Linked DNA regions of Xenopus tropicalis. The protein of the gene in region 3 purifies or fractionates together with the protein of the main gene of each other region. This does not show direct contact. Links are inferred from orthologs where the notes say so. Each region holds a gene or a part of one and is shown on either strand. Other genes may lie near its edges.

The links. Proteins that work in one complex are often made in the same cells at the same time.
Region 1: the proteins of gemin4 (region 3) and snrnp70 purify together in Homo sapiens (affinity purification with mass spectrometry; 5 studies listed by BioGRID and IntAct, counting the BioPlex papers as one, with this or other methods). This does not show direct contact. The link is inferred for Xenopus tropicalis from reciprocal best matches to the Homo sapiens genes GEMIN4 and SNRNP70.
Region 2: the proteins of gemin4 (region 3) and ddx20 purify together in Homo sapiens (co-immunoprecipitation; 7 studies listed by BioGRID and IntAct, counting the BioPlex papers as one, with this or other methods). This does not show direct contact. The link is inferred for Xenopus tropicalis from reciprocal best matches to the Homo sapiens genes GEMIN4 and DDX20.

What each region holds. Positions count from the first base shown.
Region 1 is NC_030683.2:113,683,916-113,691,603, reverse strand, and holds part of snrnp70 (U1 small nuclear ribonucleoprotein 70 kDa), read right to left. Parts: intron 5,417-7,688; 5' UTR 5,408-5,416; coding exon 5,261-5,407; intron 5,173-5,260; coding exon 5,110-5,172; intron 4,357-5,109; coding exon 4,302-4,356; intron 4,118-4,301; coding exon 4,053-4,117; intron 3,185-4,052; coding exon 3,122-3,184; intron 2,751-3,121; coding exon 2,669-2,750; intron 1-2,668. UniProt on the Homo sapiens protein: Component of the spliceosomal U1 snRNP, which is essential for recognition of the pre-mRNA 5' splice-site and the subsequent assembly of the spliceosome. SNRNP70 binds to the loop I region of U1-snRNA.
Region 2 is NC_030678.2:59,580,011-59,587,698, reverse strand, and holds part of ddx20 (probable ATP-dependent RNA helicase DDX20), read right to left. Parts: intron 4,961-7,688; coding exon 4,818-4,960; intron 4,631-4,817; coding exon 4,492-4,630; intron 3,514-4,491; coding exon 3,455-3,513; intron 2,528-3,454; coding exon 2,445-2,527; intron 1,821-2,444; coding exon 1,715-1,820; intron 387-1,714; coding exon 285-386; intron 1-284.
Region 3 is NC_030678.2:96,474,353-96,482,735, reverse strand, and holds the start of gemin4 (gem-associated protein 4), read right to left. Parts: upstream 4,667-8,383; 5' UTR 4,515-4,666; intron 4,508-4,514; exon of another isoform or gene 4,320-4,507; intron 4,313-4,319; exon of another isoform or gene 3,883-4,312; intron 2,819-3,882; 5' UTR 2,777-2,818; coding exon 2,767-2,776; intron 1,940-2,766; coding exon 1-1,939. UniProt on the Homo sapiens protein: The SMN complex catalyzes the assembly of small nuclear ribonucleoproteins (snRNPs), the building blocks of the spliceosome, and thereby plays an important role in the splicing of cellular pre-mRNAs.

The sequences.
Region 1 (7,688 bases), on a different chromosome or scaffold from region 3:
TTTTCTACCTTTAAGAACTAAAACTGTGACCTACCTTTCATGACACCAAGCCTATACTACCTAATATTATATTGTTGAAAACAAGCCATTCTTGAAATTTGGAACAACCATGATCTGTATTAGAGGGAATCTGTACTAATAGGAATTGCTAACTCCCAAATGCAGGTTACTAGTTACCCAGCAGCTGCTTGCTCCTGTAAGGTGAAGTAGCCTGACTCGTAACTCCCATGATCACACAAAGCAATAAGCCGTTTGTGATTAGTCCACAAGCAACCTTTCACAAAAAGCCAAATGGGGGTTCAACGTGCAGGACTGTCCGTTTAAGGCAAACATTGCCAACACAGTCCATCAGTTTCTCACTCACCACTTATGTGCCAGGTCCCGTAGCACTCAAAACTAGGCAATGGAATCCATGCAATGATAGCCTAGCCCTTGAACTGAGCTCTCTTGCTACTATATTAAATTATTCCTAGAAGTACAGATTCCCTTCTCATTCATGATTGACGTTTCAAATACAAGAAGCTAGATTTGAAGTCAATTACACAGAAGCTGCTACCTACAAATATATTGCAATTTTAGGTCTACCTTAAGAATTTTAACCCCATATGTAATAAAGGTGCTAAGTTTGCCCAGGAACAGTAACCCTTAGCAAACAATCTGATGTTTAAAAACAAACACCTGATTGGCTGCCATGGGTTACTGCTCCTGGGCAAACTTAGTGCCTTTTATTACATAAACCCATTAATGTATTACTATTTTTTTTTTTTTTTTTTTTAGATTACGATATCCTGGTCTGTACTTAAATACTAGCATCATTGGTTTACCAGCTAACAAGTACTCTGATCTATAGTATACCTCACCTGCAACTGTTCTGTAAGTATGGTTTCCTTCCAAATGCAAAATTGACTTTTCACAGTATTTAAAAATGTTTTTTTTTTTGGTGTTGTACAATATGTGCATTTAAATGGACATTGCTTGCACAGCAAACAAATTCAAATAGATATCCCAAAAAAGGAAACTGGATACAGACATTGTTGCCTTCTGGAATATCTAATAATGATTTTCATATTACTGAATGTAAAAGTAGCTAAAATGGGAATGTATACATTAGGAACTTCTAAGTTAGGATTAGTAAATGCCCCAAAACCCTTACTGTCAGTATTAAAATGTGTTTGAAAGAGCAATGGAGAGAACCCAGAAGAATCCATTGTGTTTCCCATAATACTATGCATTAAGAGGCAAAAATAAAAATCCACTACTGTAGATTTAGTATCTCACGTCTATACTGCCCGTGCCCCATTGCTGTACTGTACGGCTATAGACAAGTAGTTATAGCAGCATTCTTGTTAGATAGAAAACTGCTTATGTGACATGCTGCCCAATGTTTGCTTAAGTATATGAAAATGTAAATATAGCCAAATATAAAAAGTATTGCTCATAAAAACAAACCATCTCCCTACAAATAAACATGTCCATGTGTCCAGGTAGTAAGAGATGTACTTACAATGTGAGAACTGTGCAAGGTGAAGTGGTTGCTTTGCTGTGTCTTGTGTGTGTAAATGCTGCAAAGTCTTACCCATCATACAAACCCTTATACCAACCATACAATGAGATGTTGTAAAGGGGAGCATTAGATTCAGCTGCAAGCCAGCAGTGGCAATTGCCATCACAATGGTGGCTGCAGTGGCAATAAGAACACAAAATTAATACACCCCCCTCACATTGCACTGTCACAGATAAGATTTAGCTCTACATTATAAAACTAGAAAAAAAATAGAATTTTAAGGATGGGCAACAGTTATGCTCATACAAACAGGAGATGCAAGTTGCCCCCTTTCCAAAAACAGGTAAAATAAAGCCAGTGATTTCTTGGAACAGGCATTAGCAAGCTGCTCAAGAAATGCGCCACCTGGCACTTGAACATAATAATGTTGCCCGTCCTGTAAGCCATCCTTGGTAGAACCCGGACTACAGCAATCCCAAGTGGGTAAAGAGAACTTTGAAGTAAATAAAGCTCTACAGATGCCGCTGCTTTAAGCATACCTTTTCTACAACACCAGTTTAGAGCAACAGCACACACAGCCCTTGTAGAGGTTTGTCCCCCATTACAATCTCCTGACTGTGACTGTACTGGCTTTATTGCACAGTGCATTAAAGCTGCTTAAGACAAACCCAACATCATTCCCTGAACCAACATCCTTGGGGCAATGTTTAATAAGATAAGACAGTAATAAGCAAATGTAAATCTGAGCAGGAACATTCCAAAATGGTTTACCTGTTACCTTTATTGTAACAGGTGGGCACAAACATTTGCTAATGTTTTTTTCCCCCAATTTTCTTTACACTTGGATTATCGCTTTACATTTCATTCTTCCACCCCCCCCCCCAAACTCACTAAAATGTTGCAACAGATCAGTACACCTCAAATTGCTACTAATTTCAAGTGCTTTCTATTTGAAGATTACGTTTCTGAAGGTGAACGTCTCTTTAAGGGAATGGTGAGTGTTACAAGGGGGATTACTGGAATTCGAGTGCCCACCCGAATGGTTCACAGTTACTTACCTTCTGGAACACAGCCCTTCATTGCAAAGGGCTTACAAAAGTAAAAACATTTTCTTTAAAATTGCTAAAACAAAACTAATTTTTTGTTAGAGAATTAAAAACTTACAGTGCATATCTCTTTCATGTTCATACTCAATGAAGGCATATCCACGGGGTTTCCCAGACCGCTTATTGTATACCATATGAATCTAAAATAGAAAGAAATTACATTTGTAAATGAAAACCGATTGGCGCCCTCGACACACCAATCATCCCATGAGTAAAGCTGTCAGCTAACAGATACTGTATAAGGCCAGAATGCTTTCTAGTTGTCATTTTGCATACATCAGCACAAAATCACCAACCACACACTATTGGACTCTCTGCTTTTAGAATTAGAAAATGAGACAAAACTTTCTAAACTATTTACAGACGGCTATGGAGCTTATGACTTATGCCATAACAGTATAAATAAATGCGTGAACCAGGCCAAACAGGTCATGTAGTACAACTAGAAAAGCTTGTCTTATTGTTTTAAGTGAAGTCAAAAATTTTTTTTTAACACGAACAATATACATACCCGTTTTATAGGTCCATACACCTCAAACTCACGTCGTAGCTTAGACTCTGTTGTATCATAATTCTGAAAAACAAATCATTCGGTTCATGAAAAATGCTATAGGCTTTTTTCCCCCAAAAGGCACCAGGAAAAGTCATATTTTCTGACCAAAACTCTACAGGGTTTAGCACCCCTCCTGTAGCTGAATTGGTGTAAAGATGTCAGGACTTGTTCAACATATAGCGAACCAAAGACATCATACCCCAATGGAGAACAGATTCAAGTATCGTCAGTGATATGCTAGAACATGCTCTAAAGGTGGCCATACACGTTAAGATCCGCTCGTTTGGAGAGTTCGCCAAATGAGAGAATCTTTCTCCCAGTACTCCCACCTAAGGCGGGAGATATCGGAGTAATCCAATCATTCGGCCAAACAACTGGATTACAAGATGGGAATAGGAGCCATCGGAACAAGGACCACATCAATGAGCCGATGCAGTCCCCGAACTGAAGGAAAAAAAAAAAAAACCTGCCCAATTTTCAGCCAGGGGTCCCCATATCGAGCCAAATCGTTTAAATATGCCGATCTATGGCCACCTTAAGACACTTAACTATAATAAAGGTATGCTACCTTAAGAATTTTGGAGCAAAGGTCTGTCTAAATCATTTATATAGCACTTTTCCCCCACAGCACTCAAAGTGCTTTTACAGCCAGCTAGGCAGCTATTACATACACCCTGGGACAGCAAGAGATTAAGTCCAAGGTCACAAGGATTTGCCAAAAGGAACGGAATCAAGGTCTCAAGCATAAGATCCTACATCACAGCCTCACCACTTAACCATATACATAAAAACCCACACACAGTTACCTGCTACCTAAATTTCCTGACTGCTACTACAGTGACTTAAGGATTATTCTGACAAGAAACACAAGAGCACAAATAAAACTTACCACTCTGGCAACAAAAAGGGTTTTGAAGGCATCTCCTTGAGCATTCTGATCATTGTGTGGATCCCCTATCAGGTGAAAAGAACAGAAATTAAAAACAAAATATTTTATGAACGGTCTTCCAAATATGTAATGTTGACTGAAAACATTGACAAACTAAGATAAACTCAATGATACAAACTATACTTTTCCAACTGAAAGACAGCATGGTAAATAAAAAGGGCAGAAAATGTTACTTGAAGTAGCACTTACATATTTTAAGTTCATTCTCGACATCCTGCTGTCTTCTTTCAATCTTCTCTCTTCGCTGTTAAAGTGATTTAAAAGGTTTTAAGGTAATTCACACTACAAAGCAGCTGCAGGGTCATTTTAGCACAACAGACAAGCCTACTATCATTTGAAAAAGTAGAAATAATCGCTGCAAAAAAAAAAAAAAAAAAAAAAAAAAAGGTCTGGCCAAGAGTTTGGGGCCACTCCACAAATGGAATGGTATTTTTTCACTTAACCAGAAAAGATGCAGTCTAATACAGAAGCTTCTGTTGGATGATAAAAGCAGAATCACTGTTCCTGACCACTTTCCCACCTACTATAGTAGAAGAGTGGATAATCGCAAAAACCTCCTGTATCATAAATCCTAGCTTGAGTCATTTAACTTTTATATATTTTGGTTGCTGACAAAAAAAATAATTTGAGCTTCCCAGTCAAGTAATAACTGTTCTTTTAAAATGTTTTTATCCGGTTTAGTAAATTCCAACTGAAGAACCTATATATGGTCCTGCTGCCCCCTGATCAATTTACTATATCTACTAACATCCATATCCACTTTGTAGTTTGCTAAAAATGGAAGCTCTTTCTTTTTCAGTGCAAAAACTGCTCTGTATATAAGAACCTCATGTCTAGTTGATTCTCTAAGCCCCATTTTGAACGTTATATGCCACTTGAAAAAATGACAGTGAATGTTTACAAACTTCTAGAGTTGTGGGCACACAAAGATAACCACAGAAAGAAATGTAAAACATCTATGCTCTCAAAAATACAGTATTATCAGTGAACATCTCACCTTCCTTTCCATCCGCTCCTCGCGGGTTTCTGCTCTAGTTGGAGGTGGAGCATCTCGAGGGTCCTGTGTACAATAACATTTATTATAAGATTTATGTAATTTCCTTTGCAGGTATAAATCATTTAGCGGGTTCATATAGCTGTGTACTCACCTCAAATTCTCTTATGTAAGGAGCAATCCCACAGTATGGCTGATTGTGGTGTTTTTCATGGGGTAGTTTATCTAAAGGAGGGAGGTATGGTACTGGATCTCTAGGTGCAAAGAGCGCCAACAAGTTTGGAGGCAAGAACTGTGTCATCCTGAAGACCTGTATAGAATAAGAAAAAATCAACTGAATAATGTTTACACAAAAGATATTTTAAGAACATTGAAATCATCTTTATGAAAATATAAATAGCTCCTAGGGCCAAATGATCTGATAATGACTGGGATACATGCCACTGGGGCGAGGTCCAGATCAATGATCCGATGCAGTCCTCGTTCTAACAGGAAAATCAACCATGCCCGATTTTCAGCCAGATATTGGCCAGAGAGGCCCATCGGAGAGCCTCATACACGTGCAGATAAACTGATTAATAGATCTGAAGGGAGCTGAATGGCTATCTTTACACTTAATTTTAATAACATGTATTAAATCTCCTCACATTTAATCTGCTCTATGACTTCAGTTTTGCACCTTATTTTAAATAAATTTTCTACTGTTGAAGGAAAAGTCAGTGTGCGCATGATCACAGCTATTGCTCTGTACCCGGAACTCCTCATTAGTCTATGTTTACACTTTTTGCAAGTGAAACGGCACACAGTCCAATCTGAAAGCAGGATTATTCCTTAATTTACAGCGTAAATGTCTTTATTCTGTATTTTTTGATCATTGAGATCTGACCCCCCAGCCCCTTTTTTCAGGGCTATAAAAATGTCATGACCATCCCTAAGTGCAGAGATTTAATTCCTATATACTCCCCATTTTATGATGGAATTAGACGCCAAGTATCAAAAAACAAACACCCCAGGGCAACCAGAGTACATTTCTTGCACCTTTATGTATTAATTGGCAAAGCATACTGGATCATTAAAAGGGGTGGCTCACCTTTAATTTAACTTTTAGCATGTTATAAAATGGACAATTCTAAGAAACTCTTCAACTGGTCCTTATTATTTCGCTTATAGTTTGAATTATTTGCCACCTTCTACAAACTCGTTGTAGCTTTCAAATGGGGGGTCATCGAGCCCCTAAACCAAGAAAACCTACTGCTCTGTGAGGCTACACTTTTATTGTTGTTACTTTGTCTCTCTCCTATTCAATTATCAGTCTCTCATTCCAATCATTCCCTGGGTGCTAAGGTAATTTGGAGCCTAGCAACCAAACCAGAGAGTTGACAAAACTATTGAAAATAGAAAAACTACAAAGAAAAAATTAAGACCAACTGCAAATTGTCTCAAACTAAAAGTTAACTTAAGGGTGAACAACCCCCTTTAACGTTCAGTATGATGTAGAGTTATTCTAAGAATTTGCAATTTTTTGCCTTTATTTTTTATTTGCAAACTCTGAATTATTTAGCGGATTGTTCAGCCGCTTTCTCTCAAAACTATTTGTTATACAGGGAGGCTCTTCTTAACCCCAATCACATACTTGATTTGTTACTGCCACTGGGTTTCTGACACTACAGTACCTGACAGACACCTTTACAGGCCAGGTAGGACAAAGGTTTTAAACTTTGCACCACACATGCAAATCTGGGGCATTGCTAGCGTATTACCATCACCTTGCAATAAAGGCCCTGAAGTGCGTGAATGCAGCCTGAAAGATGGCAGTGTGGCCAGGTGCAGGGGGAATGGTAAACAAGCGACTGGACTAAAGGGGGGAAAATTGCTCTCTAGAACCAATTCATTTACCTCCCTTTTCCTCCTAATTATGCACACAAAGAGGAATGCTGAGACGTACACACAACATTCTCAGCACTATACATTACTATAGGTACCAATATAAAGGGGAAATACAGGAAGGAGACAGGGGGCTACAAATACCCCAGGCCAGCACTACATACACCCACAGGTACCAATATAAAGGGGAAATACAGGAAGGAGACAGGGGGCTACAGATATCCCAGGCCAGCACTACATACACCCACAGGTACCAATATAAAGGGGAAATACAGGAAGGAGACAGGAGGCTACAGATACCCCAGGCCAGCACTACATACACCCACAGGTACCAATATAAAGGGGAAATACAGGAAGGAGACAGGAGGCTACAGATACCCCAGGCCAGCACTACATACACCCACAGGTACCAATATAAAGGGGAAATACAGGAAGGAGACAGGAGGCTACAGATACCCCAGGCCAGCACTACATACACCCACAGGTACCAATATAAAGGGGAAATACAGGAAGGCGACAGGAGGCTACAGATACCCCAGGCCAGCACTACATACACCCACAGGTACCAATATAAAGGGGGAATACAGGAAGGAGACAGGAGGCTACAGATACCCCAGGCCAGCACTACATACACCCACAGGTACCAATATAAAGGGGAAATACAGGAAGGAGACAGGAGGCTACAGATACCCCAGGCC
Region 2 (7,688 bases), about 37 Mb from region 3:
CTTGCCTAACAGGGTCCAGGACCTGGACAAGTAAACTCTGGATCTAGCATTTTGCGGATATGCAATCTTATACACATTTTGGGAATGCCCTTGTGCAATATACATGGGAAAGGCATCTAAGCAGATGAGCCTTTTGGCCAAATACATGGTCAGTACAGAAAAATAAACAAGAATTTAGGCTTGTCATTTTGGCTACAAATGGATTGCTAGAATACATAAACAGTGCTATGGTATACAGCCAAATTCCAAGTTAAACACATCATGCCATCATTGAGGGTTTTTACCTGGTAAAGGCAAAAGCTTAAGATTGCATTTCATTGCAATTCCCATCATCATATTCTCCTCTTCCCCATGGCAACAGAAAGTTACAGAGAGGCCATGAGTACCTGCAAAGATTCAGTAGTTATACACATGGATTAGAGTTTTAGAATTTGTACAGCAAGCCTTATTAAGCTTCAAGGCTACAAAACATCTTGAACCATGGGAATGAATTACCTTTTGCAACTGGTTAAGAAAACTAATAAGAGGAGCTGTTCAACAGATGGTATTTTTTATTCCATCTCAAACACTCCTACATCTATAACAGGATAAGAAGGGATATTTTTCAGTTCAACTTCAGTTTTTTTGCCCTCATCTTGCTTTTTATAAAGAACCTCACTCAATTAATGCACTTAGAAAAATAGCATCCTTTTCTTATTGCCAAAACAAGAAGAAATTCATAATATTGTATTAATGTCGATAATCTTGACAAAGTTACTGAAATGCTACTGTAAGTAGTACTGTCAGTACCATTTTACTACTTTAACCAAAATTCCATTACTACATTAGCAACTGCTCTGAAAATGTTGAAGCTTTTACATTTCTAGCCCTAAAAATAAAGAAAAATGGCTAAGTGCATGTAAATTGTAACTGCTACAGCTTCAATGTTTTTAAAAAAATTGGGCGCTAGTGATAAAAATGAAAGAATAACCCTGCTTTCTTCTTAGAATGGATTGTGAATTCCAAGACTGAAGAAAACAAAATTTATATTATTTACATAGTGTGAGTGAAGATTATTATGTTTGTAAGAAATCTCAAATTATTTTCTATTGTCTTTGTCAGTGACAGGTCCCCTTTAAAAAGCAAATAAAAAAAAGCCATGTAGTCTTTTTATAGAGTAGAACAGGGGATAGAGTTGCCATGTGTAGGCATACCCAGTGTCCATACTACGTAGGCAAAGTAGGCACACCTACAGAATAGTGCTGGGCGGTATACACCGAACACCGTTTTTTTTTTTTTTTTAAAATGATAAAAAATTTTAACTTACCGGCATACCGGTGTGGGCGCCTCCTGGCAATTTTTCTTACTATTTCCGGGTTGTGCGCGCTGACGTCACGTGCGCAACCCGTAAATAGTAAGAAAAATTGCCAGGAGGCTCTGTGAGCTGTCGGGGGTGCCTGCGGCTGCCTGGCCCGTAAGGTTTATTTATGTGAAGGGGATGGGGGTTGTTTGGGGTTGGATGGGGGGGTGTTTGGGGTTGGATGGGGGGGTGTTTGGGGTGGTCACCTAATCATGCATGGGAAAAAAAAAATACCGTCAAATACCGTGATACCGATATAATAAAAAAAATACCGTGATATAAATTTTTGGTCATACCGCCCAGCACTACTACAGAATAATACTTTACAGTCAACAGATTTAAGCACACACCAAAGGTAAAGTATTTATAATTTACCAAACCGTCCAGCTCTTCCAATTCGATGCATATAGGTTTCCCAGTCCTCTGGAACATCAAGATTAATAACCAGATTCACCCTCTCTGCATCAATCCCCCGCGAAGTCTTTAAAGAAAGAAAAAAAAAAAAAAAAGGTTCTGCCTTCACAGCCTTAGAATAAAAAGCAAAAACCTTTGTCCGTTGTTTATACTTCTAATACATGAGAGTTGATTTTTATATTTCAGCCTACAAAATGTGTTTCTAGCCTTGAGGGTCCTTTTTAACAGTAGCCACTTGACACCTTCAATTAACTTCCAAGTCTAATGCAGAATGAAAATCCTAGCAATTACAGTTCAATCTTACCGAACTCTTCCTAGCTATCCTTCAGACTAATAAGATACTGTTTGCTACAGTCAAGAATTCTACAGTGAATTTATTCTGTTTGTACTCACATTAAAGTGAATCAATAGAGTGTGCAGAGCTCTACAATGCAACAGTTCTTTGTAATTCATTTCTTTTTAGCACTTCCAAAATGAAAGGCAGCAAGTAATTATCAATAACTACAGCAGGCTATGTCAGGGACCTCTGTGCCTTCCACTGTATCAAGGGATAATCCTAGTTTATCAAAAAATGGCGTCTGTGTCTTTTAGATCAAAAAGTTTTACTCTTTTTCAATAAATTATACTAGCTGCCTTTTTTAAGAGAATTCTGCATGTTAAAGCCCAAATCATTATCAGGTTAGTCACTTACTAAATCAGTAGAAATTAAGACCCGGCAATGGAACTGCTTGAGTTTGGCCACAGCATCCAGCCTTTGGTTTTGATTCATGCTACCTAGAAATACCAAAGCTGCATTAGTAAGGTTGCTAATTAAAAACAGAAATTAATAAATTCACATTAAAATAACCCAAGGAATACAGGATAGAGTTTTTTGCCACACTACTGTACATTCTGGCACAGCTTCTAGTCTATTTGCAGTGAAGGATATAGTCATCTCTACATAAACATAAGGATATACTGTAAATTTGATTTGTTTTTATTTTATAGTTATTAATTTGTATTCCACTTCTCATTATTTCAGACTTTTAAAAAACTATCGCTCTGGAATGCTACCATTTTATTGTTTCATTTAATTATCTATTGTTCTATTCAGGCTCGCTCATATTTATCATACTGAAACCACTGAAAGGTTGCAAAGTAAATTTGACCCTAGCAACCATGCTGCTGACGTTTTAAATTGGGAAGCTGCTGAACAAAAAGACAAATGGCAAATCTTATTTTTAAAACACCATACTAAAAGTTTATTTAAAAGGCCGCTTTCAAGGGATACTTAGAATAGGTAAGAGATCCCTCAGTGGAACAGGTAAGCTACCAGCTTGCTTTGAAGGACTTGCATACTGTTGCCCATGCTTAATGGATTCTCTCATCATTTTTACAGTATAGTTTTTAATACTATATTACACTGTTCACATTGAAAATAATTCATTCTACCATTTGTAATTAATCTTAATTGTATTTCATTTAGCTGTATTATTGGCGTGTAGGCAGCCATCTCAGAGCATGTGCCTCATCCTAGGGTTCAAAAAGAGCCAGCACTACACAAGAGAACTGAACCTATTTATATACTAAAAAAAGCTCATAAGAACTATATTAGAGATAGCCTGGTAAATTCATTAGGTGAAGAAAAGCATAACAAGTGCCAACAAGTGCTGCAAACCAAAAGGCATTAAATTAAAGTCTTTTAAACAGACATTTTCTTACCAGATATGCACACTGCTGGGAAGCCTTTAGCTGTAAGAATATTAGCCAAGTGCTGAGCCCTGTTATTAAAAATTAAAAGAAGAGGAAGACATCAGCATCATGTTTATAGCAGCTATTAAAACAAAATCATTTTAATAAAAACACTAACAGTGATGAATCCTCTATTTTTGAGTTTTTCATGAAGGAAATTCAAACTAAAGCCAAACTCTAATTTGCAAATGCAAATATGCATGTAGGAGTTACAATGAACCTTCTTTACGTAACCAAAAGTCACATGATTTTCTACGGTTGAGACCAGTGGCGGGCCAAGCCAACCGGGTGCCCTAGGCAATCTGCCCCGCTTGGCCTGCCCCAACCAGGACAATGCATTTATTATGGTTGAACGTGATTTTTTCAACCCAACTTACTATGTTACTATGAAATGCACACACGTGGTGGCGGGGTTGCTGCAGTGGGGGGTAAAAGAGGTACCAGCCTGGCATGCACAAAACCAACTGGTGTGAAAAGTGTGAACTTTTTTTTTTTTTTATTTGGCTGACTGCCAAGTCATCCTCTGGGACAACACACAATGCAGAGAAGAGAGGGCTTTAGCAGCTCTAGTCCTGGTCTGTAGCTTAAAGACAACATTCACATTTTTGTATGCAAAAAAAAAAATCATGATTAGCACAAAACAAATATGAATCACAGAAAAAATGACCATTGACAAAGCACTCCCTTAGATGCCACTAAATCCTACTAAAAAACATTTTGATTTGGCCAAACACCAAATCGAATCAGAGATTTAGTGCATCCTTACACCCTTGGTTTTGTGATAATGCAGCAGCAAGAAAAAGCCAATAGGATATGTGCCAGATCTTCCATTGTCAGACTAATGCCAACTCAATTTTCATGTATGCATTTTTGGGTCAACATCCCTCCATGTGCAAAGTGATAGGTGGATGCAACTGGAGCAAACAGCAAGAGCTGTGTCAGGCGTTTTCCTACCAGCGGAGCATCTTCCATATCAGACATTATAGTAGTGGGGCCAGTCTTATTACCTGCTATGGAGATTTGAGAACACCAAAGCTTGATTGAAAGAAATTCTGTTGAACAGCTCTTGCAAATGCATCACCTTTTCGTCAAAAACCTTGTGTGGCAGTGGGTGCGATTTCACAACTTTATAAAACTGCTTCAAACCTAAGCCAAGCAAAAATGTATGTATAAAGTTACACAGAGCAAATGAAAGTAGAATATACAATGAAACCTCAATTTTACATACTATGATTACAACTGTTTACAGTTTTTTCTGGTCCCCTGAAAAAATGGGGGTTCTACTGTATTTCTAAACTGCTAGAAGTTCATCCAAGTAATTTAACATACACACCAAGGAGGCTGGGGTCGGTTACATTCAACCTTACAAATGTAGGCTCTCTCATGTATCTTGTCAGTGCTTTTGCTAAAGATTCCGGGTAAGTGGCTGAAACAGCTAGCATTTGTTTGTTAGCAGGAAGAGAGGAATATATCCAGCTGAAAAAAAGAGAAAACAAAAGTTATATGCAATACATAAGTTTTTCATGCAAAATGACAGCTATTTTATGAGAAGACCATTAAACTAATGGTTAGCTTTGATATATTTCCTTTACATATAAACTGGGTAGCCAGTATGCCATATACTTCTACCTCCCTTTAAAGCCTTTGTATAAATCTCCACGTCCACCACATATAAACATCATATGTATTATAAGGCATTTGTCATCCTATACTCAAAAGTATAAGGGTGGCTATCCTTTAGGATACAGTGGCTTGCAAAAGTATTCGGCCCCCTTGAACTTTTCCACATTTTGTCACATTACAGCCACAAACATGAATCAATTTTATTGGAATTCTACGTGAAAGACCAATACAAAGTGGTGTACACGTGAGAAGTGGAAGGAAAATCATACATAATTCCAAACATTTTTTGCAAAGTGGGGTGTGCGTAATTATTCAGCCCCCTGAGTCAGTACTTTGTAGAACCACCTTTTGCTGCAATTACAGCTGCCAGTCTTTTAGGGTATGTCTCTACCAGCTTTGCACATCTAGAGACTGAAATCCTTGCCCATTATTCTTTGCAAAACAGCTCCAGCTCATTCAGATTAGATGGACAGCGTTTGTGAACAGCAGTTTTCAGATCTTGCCACAGATTCTCCATTGGATTTAGATCTGGACTTTGACTGGGCCATTCTAACACATGGATATGTTTTGTTTTAAACCATTCCATTGTTGCCCTGGCTTTATGTTTAGGTGAACCTCCGCCCCAGTCTCAAGAGGTTTTCTTCCAAGATTGCCCTGTATTTGGCTCCATCCATCTTCCCATCAACTCTGAACAGCTTCCCTGTCCCTGCTGAAGAGAAGCACCCCCAGAGCATGATGCTGCCACCACCATATTTGACAGTGGGGATGGTGTGTTCCGAGTGATGTACAGTGTTAGTTTTCCGCCACACATAGCGTTTTGCATTTTGGCCAAAAAGTTCCATTTTGGTCTCATCTGACCAGAGCACCTTCTTCCACATGTTTGCTGTGTCCCCCACATGGCTTGTGGCAAACTGCAAACAGGACTTCTTATGGTTTTCTGTTAACAATGGCTTTCTTCTTGCCACTCTTCCATAAAGGCCAACTTTGTGCAGTGCACGACTAATAGTTGTCCTATGGACAGATTCCCCCACCTGAGCTGTAGATCTCTGCAGCTCGTCCAGAGTCACCATGGGCCTCTTGGCTGCATTTCTGATCAGCGCTCTCCTTGTTCGGCCTGTGAGTTTAGGTGGGCGGCCTTGTCTTGGTAGGTTTACAGTGCCATACTCCTTCCATTTCTGAATGATCGCTTGAACAGTGCTCCGTGGGATGTTCAAGGCTTTGGAGATCTTTTTGTAGCCTAAGCCTGCTTGAAATTTCTCAATAACTTTATCCCTGATCTGTCTGGTGTGTTCTTTGGACTTCATGGTGTTGTTGCTCCCAATATTCTCTTAGACAACCTCTGAGGCCGTCACAGAGCAGCTGTATTTGTACTGACATTAGATTACACACAGGTGCACTCTATTTAGTCATTAGCACTCATCAGGCAATGTCTATGGGCAACTGACTGCACTCAGACCAAAGGGGGCTGAATAATTACGCACACCCCACTTTACAGTTATTTATTTGTAAAAAATGTTTGGAATCATGTATGATTTTCGTTCCACTTCTCACGTGTACACCACTCTGTATTGGTCTTTCACGTGGAATTCCAATAAAATTGATTCATGTTTGTGGCTGTAATGTGACAAAATGTGGAAAAGTTCAAGGGGGCCGAATTCTTTTGCAAGCCACTGTATATGTTTAGTTAAAGGACTTGGCAATTGGTGATTTGGTGATAACACTCTTACAATTTCCATATGCATGAATATCCTGTAGATATCCTTATAAATGGTGCTTAGTGCTTTAATTTGTGACAGTACCACAAAGGTTAATTGTTAAATTACTGGCTGGAGGATTACAAAGCATGGTAGTAAATGAAACATTTTCTAATTGGACCGGTGTTGTTCATGAAGCACCGCAGGGCCTTTGCTTTTTAACTTGTTTATTAATTACCTTGAGGTGGGCATTAAAGGCACTTTATTTTAGTAGAGGATACTATATTGTGCAAAAAAGAAATACTGTAAAAAAAAAAAAAAAAAAAAAAAACCCCAAAAGCACATCAAATCCTGCACTGAAATCTGTTTTTCAAAAATGCAAAGTTTTTTTTCTATTTAATTTTGACATTTCACATGAGGCTAGCCATATTCTTTACTTCCCAGTGTGCTTCAGCCATGTGAACATTGCTCTGATAAACTTCAGTCACACTTTACTGCTGAGCTGCAAGTTGGAGAGATATCACACCCCCTCCCTTTTCCCCCCAGCAGCCGATCAGCAGGGAAGTCTACTGGGAAGGTAAAATTACTGGCTGGAGGATTACAAATGGGAAGGTAACAAGATAGCAGCTCCCAGTAGATATCAGAATAGCACTCAATAGTAAGAAATCCAAGTCCGGACTGCAACTTCTCCAATTACATTACAAAGCGGTTCTAATGTGTAGCACTGGCTACATCTGAAAGCACAGACTCAGGCACAATGCACTGAGATGGCTGCCTACACACCAAAGGGCAATAATACAACTAAAGAAAACTACATTTGTTGGTTTAAGAATAAAAATTTAAATGGTAGAGGGTAATAAAAAGTGCACCATAAAAAATTAAGTTTC
Region 3 (8,383 bases):
AGTTGGATAGAAGAATCCTTATCATTTACTTCTGAAGATTCCATCAGAAAGGCTAGTAAGGCTAAAAACTGCCTCTCTTCCTTATCAGAAGACAACTTACCCCAACAGGTTTCCATCAGGCACTCACACAACAGAGAGACTGTTTTTTCTGAATTATTAGGACACTTAAAGCATAAAGCTGGAAGGGAGCTCAATATCTTGGCTAAAAATGTATGAGCACCAACATTTACCACTGCAAAATGACAGGCTTTCTTTACTACTGCTTGCGGGTTCAGCAAAGCCAGTTTAGACACCTTTGAAACGGCCTGAGCAGCACTGTAATCAGAAAGGCTTTGGGAAATTTGGTTGAATGTTATATTAAGTTCATCTTGGAAACTGTCAGTAAATGCTTTGATAGATGGAGAAAGCCCTTTTCTGCCCCATAAGGATAAAACTTCTTTCAGCACTTCATTCTTCTCAGACAGTGAAAGTTCTGAAAAAATGCTTAATGTGACATCAGCGCCTTTTCGTACTGATCCAATATCCACATTACTTTGTAAAGCAGTAACTGTTACTATGAGATCCAGCAATTTTAATACCATTGCAGGGTCCTGAAAATGTGCTTTGTTTTTCTCAAGACAATTTAACCAGTCATTTGAGAAGGCCCAGGATACTTCTGAGGCGAAGACAGAACAAACTTCTTTGAAACGGTCCATTTTATTCTCAATAATTTTCATGGCAATAAAAGCCATCATTTCATTAGCATTAGAAGGACATCCATGTTGAACTTGGGTGGTTTTCTCTTGAAAGCTTGTAATGCAGTGTGCCAATTCCAGTACATCCCCTCTTTGTTCTTCAGGGTAGGTACCAGAATCTTCTAACGTTCTCAAGATTTTATGCAAAGATGCAAGGCTGTGTCTCATCCTGTAACATACATAGCCAACTACTTTGTTGTTATTCAAATAATGAATTAACTCCTCCCCCCACTGAAAAAGAAGGTCTTTGAGAAGGCTTAAACCAAAATGCTGAGCACCTCGTAGTAAGCGGAATCTTGAAGATGTGCTTCCGCTCTGCACCATCCTTTCTGCTACTCTAATCATATCAACATCTCTGGATCCTTTTTCACAGAAGGAAAGCACTACTGCAAATTGTTCTAAATATGATTTTATGGGCAGAAGCTCAGACTCCTTTTCGAGAAAGGCTGAGGAGCATAACATTTCAGCTAGATTTGCAATAGTAAAGCACCTCAGCTTGTTGGTAGCAACACACTGTTTCATTTTATGAAGCCCCTCTAGAAAAACAGCAAGGATATTATCGGCTTGATTTAAAGTCTGTTCAGGATCTGACTTAAATCTTTTGGCGCTCTGTGATGGTTCATCACTAGACTTTGGTAAGTACTGGGAAACCACAGAGGAAAATAACACAAGAGTTTCATTTTGCTCATCACTCTTGCTTTTCATTACCTCCCACCAGACATCTAAAAAAAAATCAACATCCTCTACTGAAGTCTCTTCACAAATATGCTGAAGTAGTGAGGTGGCCCCTTCAGCCCAAATGCCAACTGGAAGTGCCAACAGCAATTCTGCACAAATGTCTGCTGCTTTCATTGTTTTGAGCAGTTCAAAGAGTACAGTTTGACTTATTTTGGGGATCATGTTTTCCACTGGAAAGAAAACATCCTCTTTCCATTTCCTATCTATGTCAAAGTGTGAAACGGAAGTCAGATCTGGCGTGCAACAAAGTGTTCTGGCCCAAAGTATAGCAATGGCTCTTCTCCGCCATTCTTGATGTTGAGGTGGAAGACCTGAGCTTATTTCCTTGAAGGCCTCTGTGATTGGTTTTTGAATAAGGGGCCAGTCAGACTTCTTTACCTCCAGCAATGTTTTTGGATGGCAAAGTTTTTCAGCCAATAAAAATGCACCCTGTAGAACCGCAGTTTGCTCACACACATTCCAGCTTCCTACAACAAAAATAAAGCAAACAGTCAGGATACTAAACGTACAGTGCCTGCACATTTATTAGTTGTTTGCTTTGCTTTAATTAAAAACGGTATTTGTCATGGCACCCACTGTAATGAATAAAATGCTGTTGTTTTGGCAACGTCACAGCTCTGTAAAAACACATTCCTTTTAAGCATAAAATATTGTTATTTCACCACTTATATATCTTACTAATAATCAAGTTTAAAAAAAAAAATAGAAAAGGATATAGAATAAGGTTATAGAATAAAGGACTAATTTTTGTAGACCTGATGCCGCGAGTGCTTTCTATGGACACAGAATGCTTTGTTGGTCAGCACCTTATTTTTTGTAGACCTGATGCCGTGAGTGCTTTCTGTGGACACCAGTATGCTTTGTTGGTCAGCACCTTAATTAAGATGTTATACATCTTATAGTTTCTTAAGTGAGTGTGGACTTCTTTGTTTCAGCCTGAGCTCTCTATCACCCTCTTTTTAAAGGAGGTATAGATTCCAGTACCATGAAGCTAAGCTGTTCGGATGTGTGGCCCTTCTCACAAAAATGTTTAGAAATCGGTAGTGTAGTATTTCCTAAGTTAATAGCTGACCGATGTTGTGAAATACGTGATTTTACTGGAATCTATACCTCCTTTAAAAAGAGGGGGTGATAGAGAGCTCAGGCTGAAACAAGGGGAGGTGTGGTGGATTAATAAACTACATTACTGCATCTTAAATACCCTTTCTATAGCCATGTGAAAATAATAATCTTATAAACACCATTGGCAATAGAAATGCACAAGTAAAACAATAAATACATAGTTACTACTTACCAAAATCCATTGTTTTGATTGTTTATTAAGGCACGAGGGTGACCATCTAACCCTACAAAACAACACATAAACTGTTACTGGCATAAATATAAAATGATTAAACTGAAATGTAGGCGTAACATGCTATAACATGCTTCACTTGCAAATGTAAATAGTACAGTATAATTATTAAAGACGTGGGATTTTTAGGATATGCTGCAATTATCATAACCATATCATAGTGTATATTTTGTAAACCTACAATACACATCCTTGGGTTTAAGGCTTATGGCACACAGGTGGTTATTTTCTCTGCTGCCTTCTGGTCTGGGTGCATGCTGACAGGCTGACTAGTACACGGTGTGGAAGGTAGCGGATTGGCTTTTTTTTATTTGTACATATATGCCAGCAGGCCTAGACCCAAAAATCAGATTGCCAGTCTGGGCCTCATATGGAGTGCATTAATGTGTCACTTGCATGTGTCTATAACAGTCTATGTTATTTTACGTGGTTTAACGGTCTCTCATGCAGGCCCGGACTGGCAATCTATGTACTACTATGTACATGTGCCAAATGCCAGAGGGGCTGCTGTATGATGCTATAGACAGTCACTATTCATTGGGCTGATGGGGGTCTGATCAGACCTATGTGGTTAAAATGCCAGGGCAAATTTTGAATCCCAGACTGAGCCTGCATGATTTTTATTTTATTTTTTTTTTGATGACCTTTCATTTAAATAGAAAAGAAAGACAGAATCTATGTTGCAAGCACTCTGCCACTGAATCAGATTCTACATTGTTAGTAGGGAATGAGTTAATAGACATGTGATAACACTGCTCTCCCCCAGGGGCCCAGAATATATCCCACTGTGCTCCTCCAGCACCCTTGTACCCATGCCCATCACAATGATTTATATTCCCTCATCCAACACATCTTTCTCTGACTTCATTGGCAGGGACAGGGCAGGTGAGCCTTCACGAATAAAAGCAGCAAGACGTTTTTACGTTCAGAAGGTTGGTAAGAATGGAGAGGCTGGCGGAGAGTGAGCCCCACATTCCACCCACAAGTGGAGTAAACTATTGGCCATAACCCACAGGTTTGGGATTACTCTGTGTATCACTACTGTACATAACCCACTTCTGTATGTATCCCAGTGTGCTCCCATCTGTTGCTTCCTTCTGTGGATAAGCCCATGCAGCTCCATACAGATGCTTTCAGGAAGTTCACATGTTGCACCCACATGAACTAGATGTTGGTGGGCAGGAGGGACATAACAGACAAGAGTCCAGCTCCAATCCCTGCTAGCGCTAAACTCCTGCCTGGTACCCACTGAACTGCTGCCTATCTAGAGAGCAGGATATCTGATATGCAAGCCTGGGGCCCCAGGGTATATAATAAGTGAGAAAGGTGCAGCACTACATTGGGAAGGGTGTGAAGAAAGTGTGCTTGAAATAAAAAGCCCTGTGCCGGGTGACTAGAAAAGCATTGTGGGAATGGTACAGGGCTTCTGGACAGTGCAGAGTGATCCCAGGCCTGTGGCCCCCGAATTTCTGCAATAATAGCAGACCCCACACCTGTGGCCCCCGCTGCATGCTGCTGCACTGAATCAAGCGATTTCTTCTAACCATGAGGTGAAGGCGATGCGAAGAAAAATTGCTGCAGAATTCAATACAGCAATTCCGGTTCCTTTGAGCGCCAGGAAGAAAATGAGGGGAAAAAGCCGCTAGCGAAGAAAAGAATTCAGGAGTAGCGAACACAGCTACCTATACCTTAGAGCGCCAGGAAGAAGCCGCTTGCAAGTAACGTGCGGTCGCTATGTGACGTCACTTCCGAAGACCTGAAGACCAGGAAGTGACTGAAGGCAGCGCGTACTTAGGGAGGAAGCAGGAGTTGTCAGGTTTTGTAAGATGGCAAATCAAAGTCTCTCTCTGTAAGTTTTCTTTACTTTTATTAGTATAATAAATTGCTTTCTGCCCGTCCCCTTTTGCTATCAGTTTGATCATTTCCCCTCCTCTCTGTATCCCCCCACGCCCCTTCAGAAACTCCACCCACATTTTTGCCTAATATAAGAAAATGTAATTCTAGCCAATTGTCTAATACACTACAATTAACCAATTTAAATAGTTTTAAAGTTCTATTTCAGCATTATCTTTCTGTTTAGATTCCTCTGCACTGCTGTTTTTGAAGCAATATAACAAGCAAGCTGATTACCAGGCACAGAGGGGAGGTAGTTCCTGCTACTTAAACAGTCAGAACTAAAGAACAGAAAGCAATGAACAATTAACTGCTTTTAGTAGACATTATATTTTATGTATAACTTTTAAACCCACTTAAAATTAAGTGATGCATATTGAAAAGTTCTTAGCATAACACCTTTCAGTATTCAAAGAGATGTACTGATGTACGTCTAATGTAATATGGATACCAAGATACAGAAACAAATCTACTCACACTGGGGGTGAATTAAGATGAGGGCACCTTTTTAAAAGTTAAAGTAGGGCCCAGATTATCAAGATATGCCAGCATATAACCTGCATACAGTGATATTTTTTTCACTAAGGTTGACAACTGTAAAGCCTACTGTGTCTGCTGCGTTGCGGATTATTCTGCAAGTGGCTCTATGGCCAGACAAAGCAGGAAGGACAACAATGGGCAGCCCTGCCTTGTGCCTCACTTTAAGGAAAAGGCTGTGGAGAGCATATTATTGACCCAAATTTGTGCCATAGTTGAGTGGTATAGCACCTGTATCCAGAAGAGAAATTGAGATCCAAAGCAACCTGTTAATATAGGTTGTTGTGGCCAAGATAAACCCACTTTGATCAGAGTGTACCAGATCTTTCATATAAGGCTTGATCCTATTAGACAGCATGTTAGCTAATATTTTTGCATTGCAATTAATAAGTGATTTCAGTCGACATGAAGAGCAAAGTCGCAAATCTTTCCCTTTCTTGGATATAATGGTGATATTTATAGGCCTGCTTCAGTGAGTCGAGTAACAAGCCCCTACTTGCTACCTCATTGAGCAGGTTGGTTAAAGGCGATAATATCATGGTTAAATGATGTTTTATAGAATTCAGTTGGTAGGCCATCTAGGTCAGGGGTCTTGCTTGTGGAAAGTGATAGAATACTAATCAAGATGGCTGCAGTTTAAAGGACAATGAAAGCTTAATATAAATTAAAAGTAAGTCTAAAGGTATTCTTTTTAAGTACTTACTGCATATCTAAATTCCTAGATCCCTGCTTGCTTCTCTGAGATATGGTGCTGGCAGCCTACGGCAGTGTGAAGACTACAGTGACATCACTGAAATCTCTCTGTCCTTCCTGTAGGTGCCAGCGGCAGCCTTCCTATTCTCTGAGCATGTGTGTAACTTGATCCTGTCTCCTGTTCTGAGCTACACATGCCCACCAGCCAATCAGAAGTGGATCTGGCAGAGGGGAGGGGGGGAGAGAATGAAACACATGTGCAGTATGAAGCAAGGAGGGAAAGGAAGGGAGAATACCTTTTTAGAGATGGCTGCCTGTACTAGAAAATGTGAAGTAAGTGTGACTGAGTAAATATTTGATTAGGTGAGCCAAAAGTGTGGCGTTTTTACTAAACAATAGGAGGACTATTGGGCAGTATGCTTTCTAAATTTTGACTTGCATTCTCCTTTAACTTAAAGTTGTTAGCTTAAAGTTGCAGTGATAGCTGCAAGTTGTACTAGGCACAACTTGCAGCTAACAGAAATTCTCATTACAAAAAGCTACTCAGTGGTATTCCTATAGTACAGCAGCATAAGTCAAATAACACAGTTATAAATTTTTTTTTATTTAAACTTTTATTTGTTTAAACAATGGTACCAAGTTTATACACTCACTAGCAATTTTTAACATCACTGTCAAATACAAACACTGTAAGCAACTGCAGATTATGATGAAGGCAGGAGATTATAAAAATGACATATAATTGGTTTTCTGTTATAGTGACAAATGGCAATCTTTACCTTAAGAATACAGGGAGTTGTAGTACCAAACAAGCAGAGGCGGATTTAGATAGCTCAGGTCCTTATTCTGACGTCAGGTCTAGTTTTTCTGTAGGTGTCAATTTTTAATTATAATCTTATAATGACTAAGCACAAGGTGAAATTGTAGCGTGTTGTTCATCTCTTAAAAAATATTTTGGATGATGTGACCATGTACTGAATCATGCTTCCCAAATAATGCTCTGAATCACAACATATACTGTATACAATGCTTTTTATATTTTACATTATGATTTGGAATGACCTGATGAGACACATCATGGTCTCCTTCCAGCCTTGCTCTTAAGCGGGCTCTTTACAGGGCTGTCATGCACAAATGAGCCCTGTACTTAATATGGTTAGTGCAGCCCTCCATAGTACATAGCAGCTCCAAGCAATTTTCTGCTAGTAGGCAAGCTAAAGGTGTTCCAGGAGGGCCACAAGCCACCCTTCCTGCTAAACACAAACATTTCTGCTAACCTCTCAGCCAAACACAGGCAGCACAGAGAAATATTTTTTTTTTGTACACTACTCCAGTTGCACCTCAGTGTTCAAACAGAAGATTGAATTTTGCAAAAATGCAAAAAAAACCCCAAAAAACATTTGTGCCCATTTTTTGGACTTTGCCACAAATTCATAACTAATTCATATAATAAATTCAAAACCAAAGTTTTGTAAGGATAGATTTCACGCATTAGAATCATGAGACGGCCACCATGTTCCATTTGTGTAGCTGAATTAGGCCAAGTTCTTCCATTCTGCACTGAAGCTTATTATTGTAATGTTCAGGCGGTATAAAATATGTCACGTTCACCTAGGCAGAAGGCTTCTGTCTACTGTGTTTTGCAAACCATTCTGCACTCTTGTCTGCGTCCATAGCCTGAAAAATAAATGTCAACATTTGTGTAAATAATATTCAAAAGTGTTGTAAGTACTGACTGACAGAGGAGGAAAAGTGCCCTACTCGTTAAAGTTTACAGTCGGGAAAAAGTATGGAAAAAGGGTGCAACCATGTCTAGCATATATTCCACTCAAAATTTTTCCACTACAAAAATGTTTCTTTTTAAAGGACAGTTCATGTGTACAAACAGCCGCCATTTCAATTTGTAAACCATTTTCTTTTATTGTTTTATATTTTTCATTTAAAGAGAAAAACACCCCCTGTTTGTCACATTCAGTTGTAAAAAAAAAAATCCGGACTGTTTTCACACCAACATACTTGATTCTTTAGATTGAAAGGAAACTATAATGGTCTACCTCTGACATACATGGACCGTTTCTCCACCTCCCTTTAGGCTGGCAGAGTTATTCAACCCTTCCATCACAGTCCATGTTGAAGTTATAGATTCTAGGACTCGAAGTTCCCTCTGCTTCCCTTAATAGAAGTAGCACAGATGCTCTTGAATGCAAAGTGACTTCCAAGTCCTAGAATCCATTACTTCAGCATGGAACAATGTGAGCATAGGGATGAATGACTCTGCTAGCCTAAGGAAGGGGGGGATGCCTATGAGTCAGAAGCAGACTATCATGGTTTCCTCTCTATCTTAGGAGTTATGTATTTCTATATTAATAAAAATATATTTTTTAGCAGTTCAGATTTTTTCAATGTCTATGCACTTATTTTACATATGCTTATG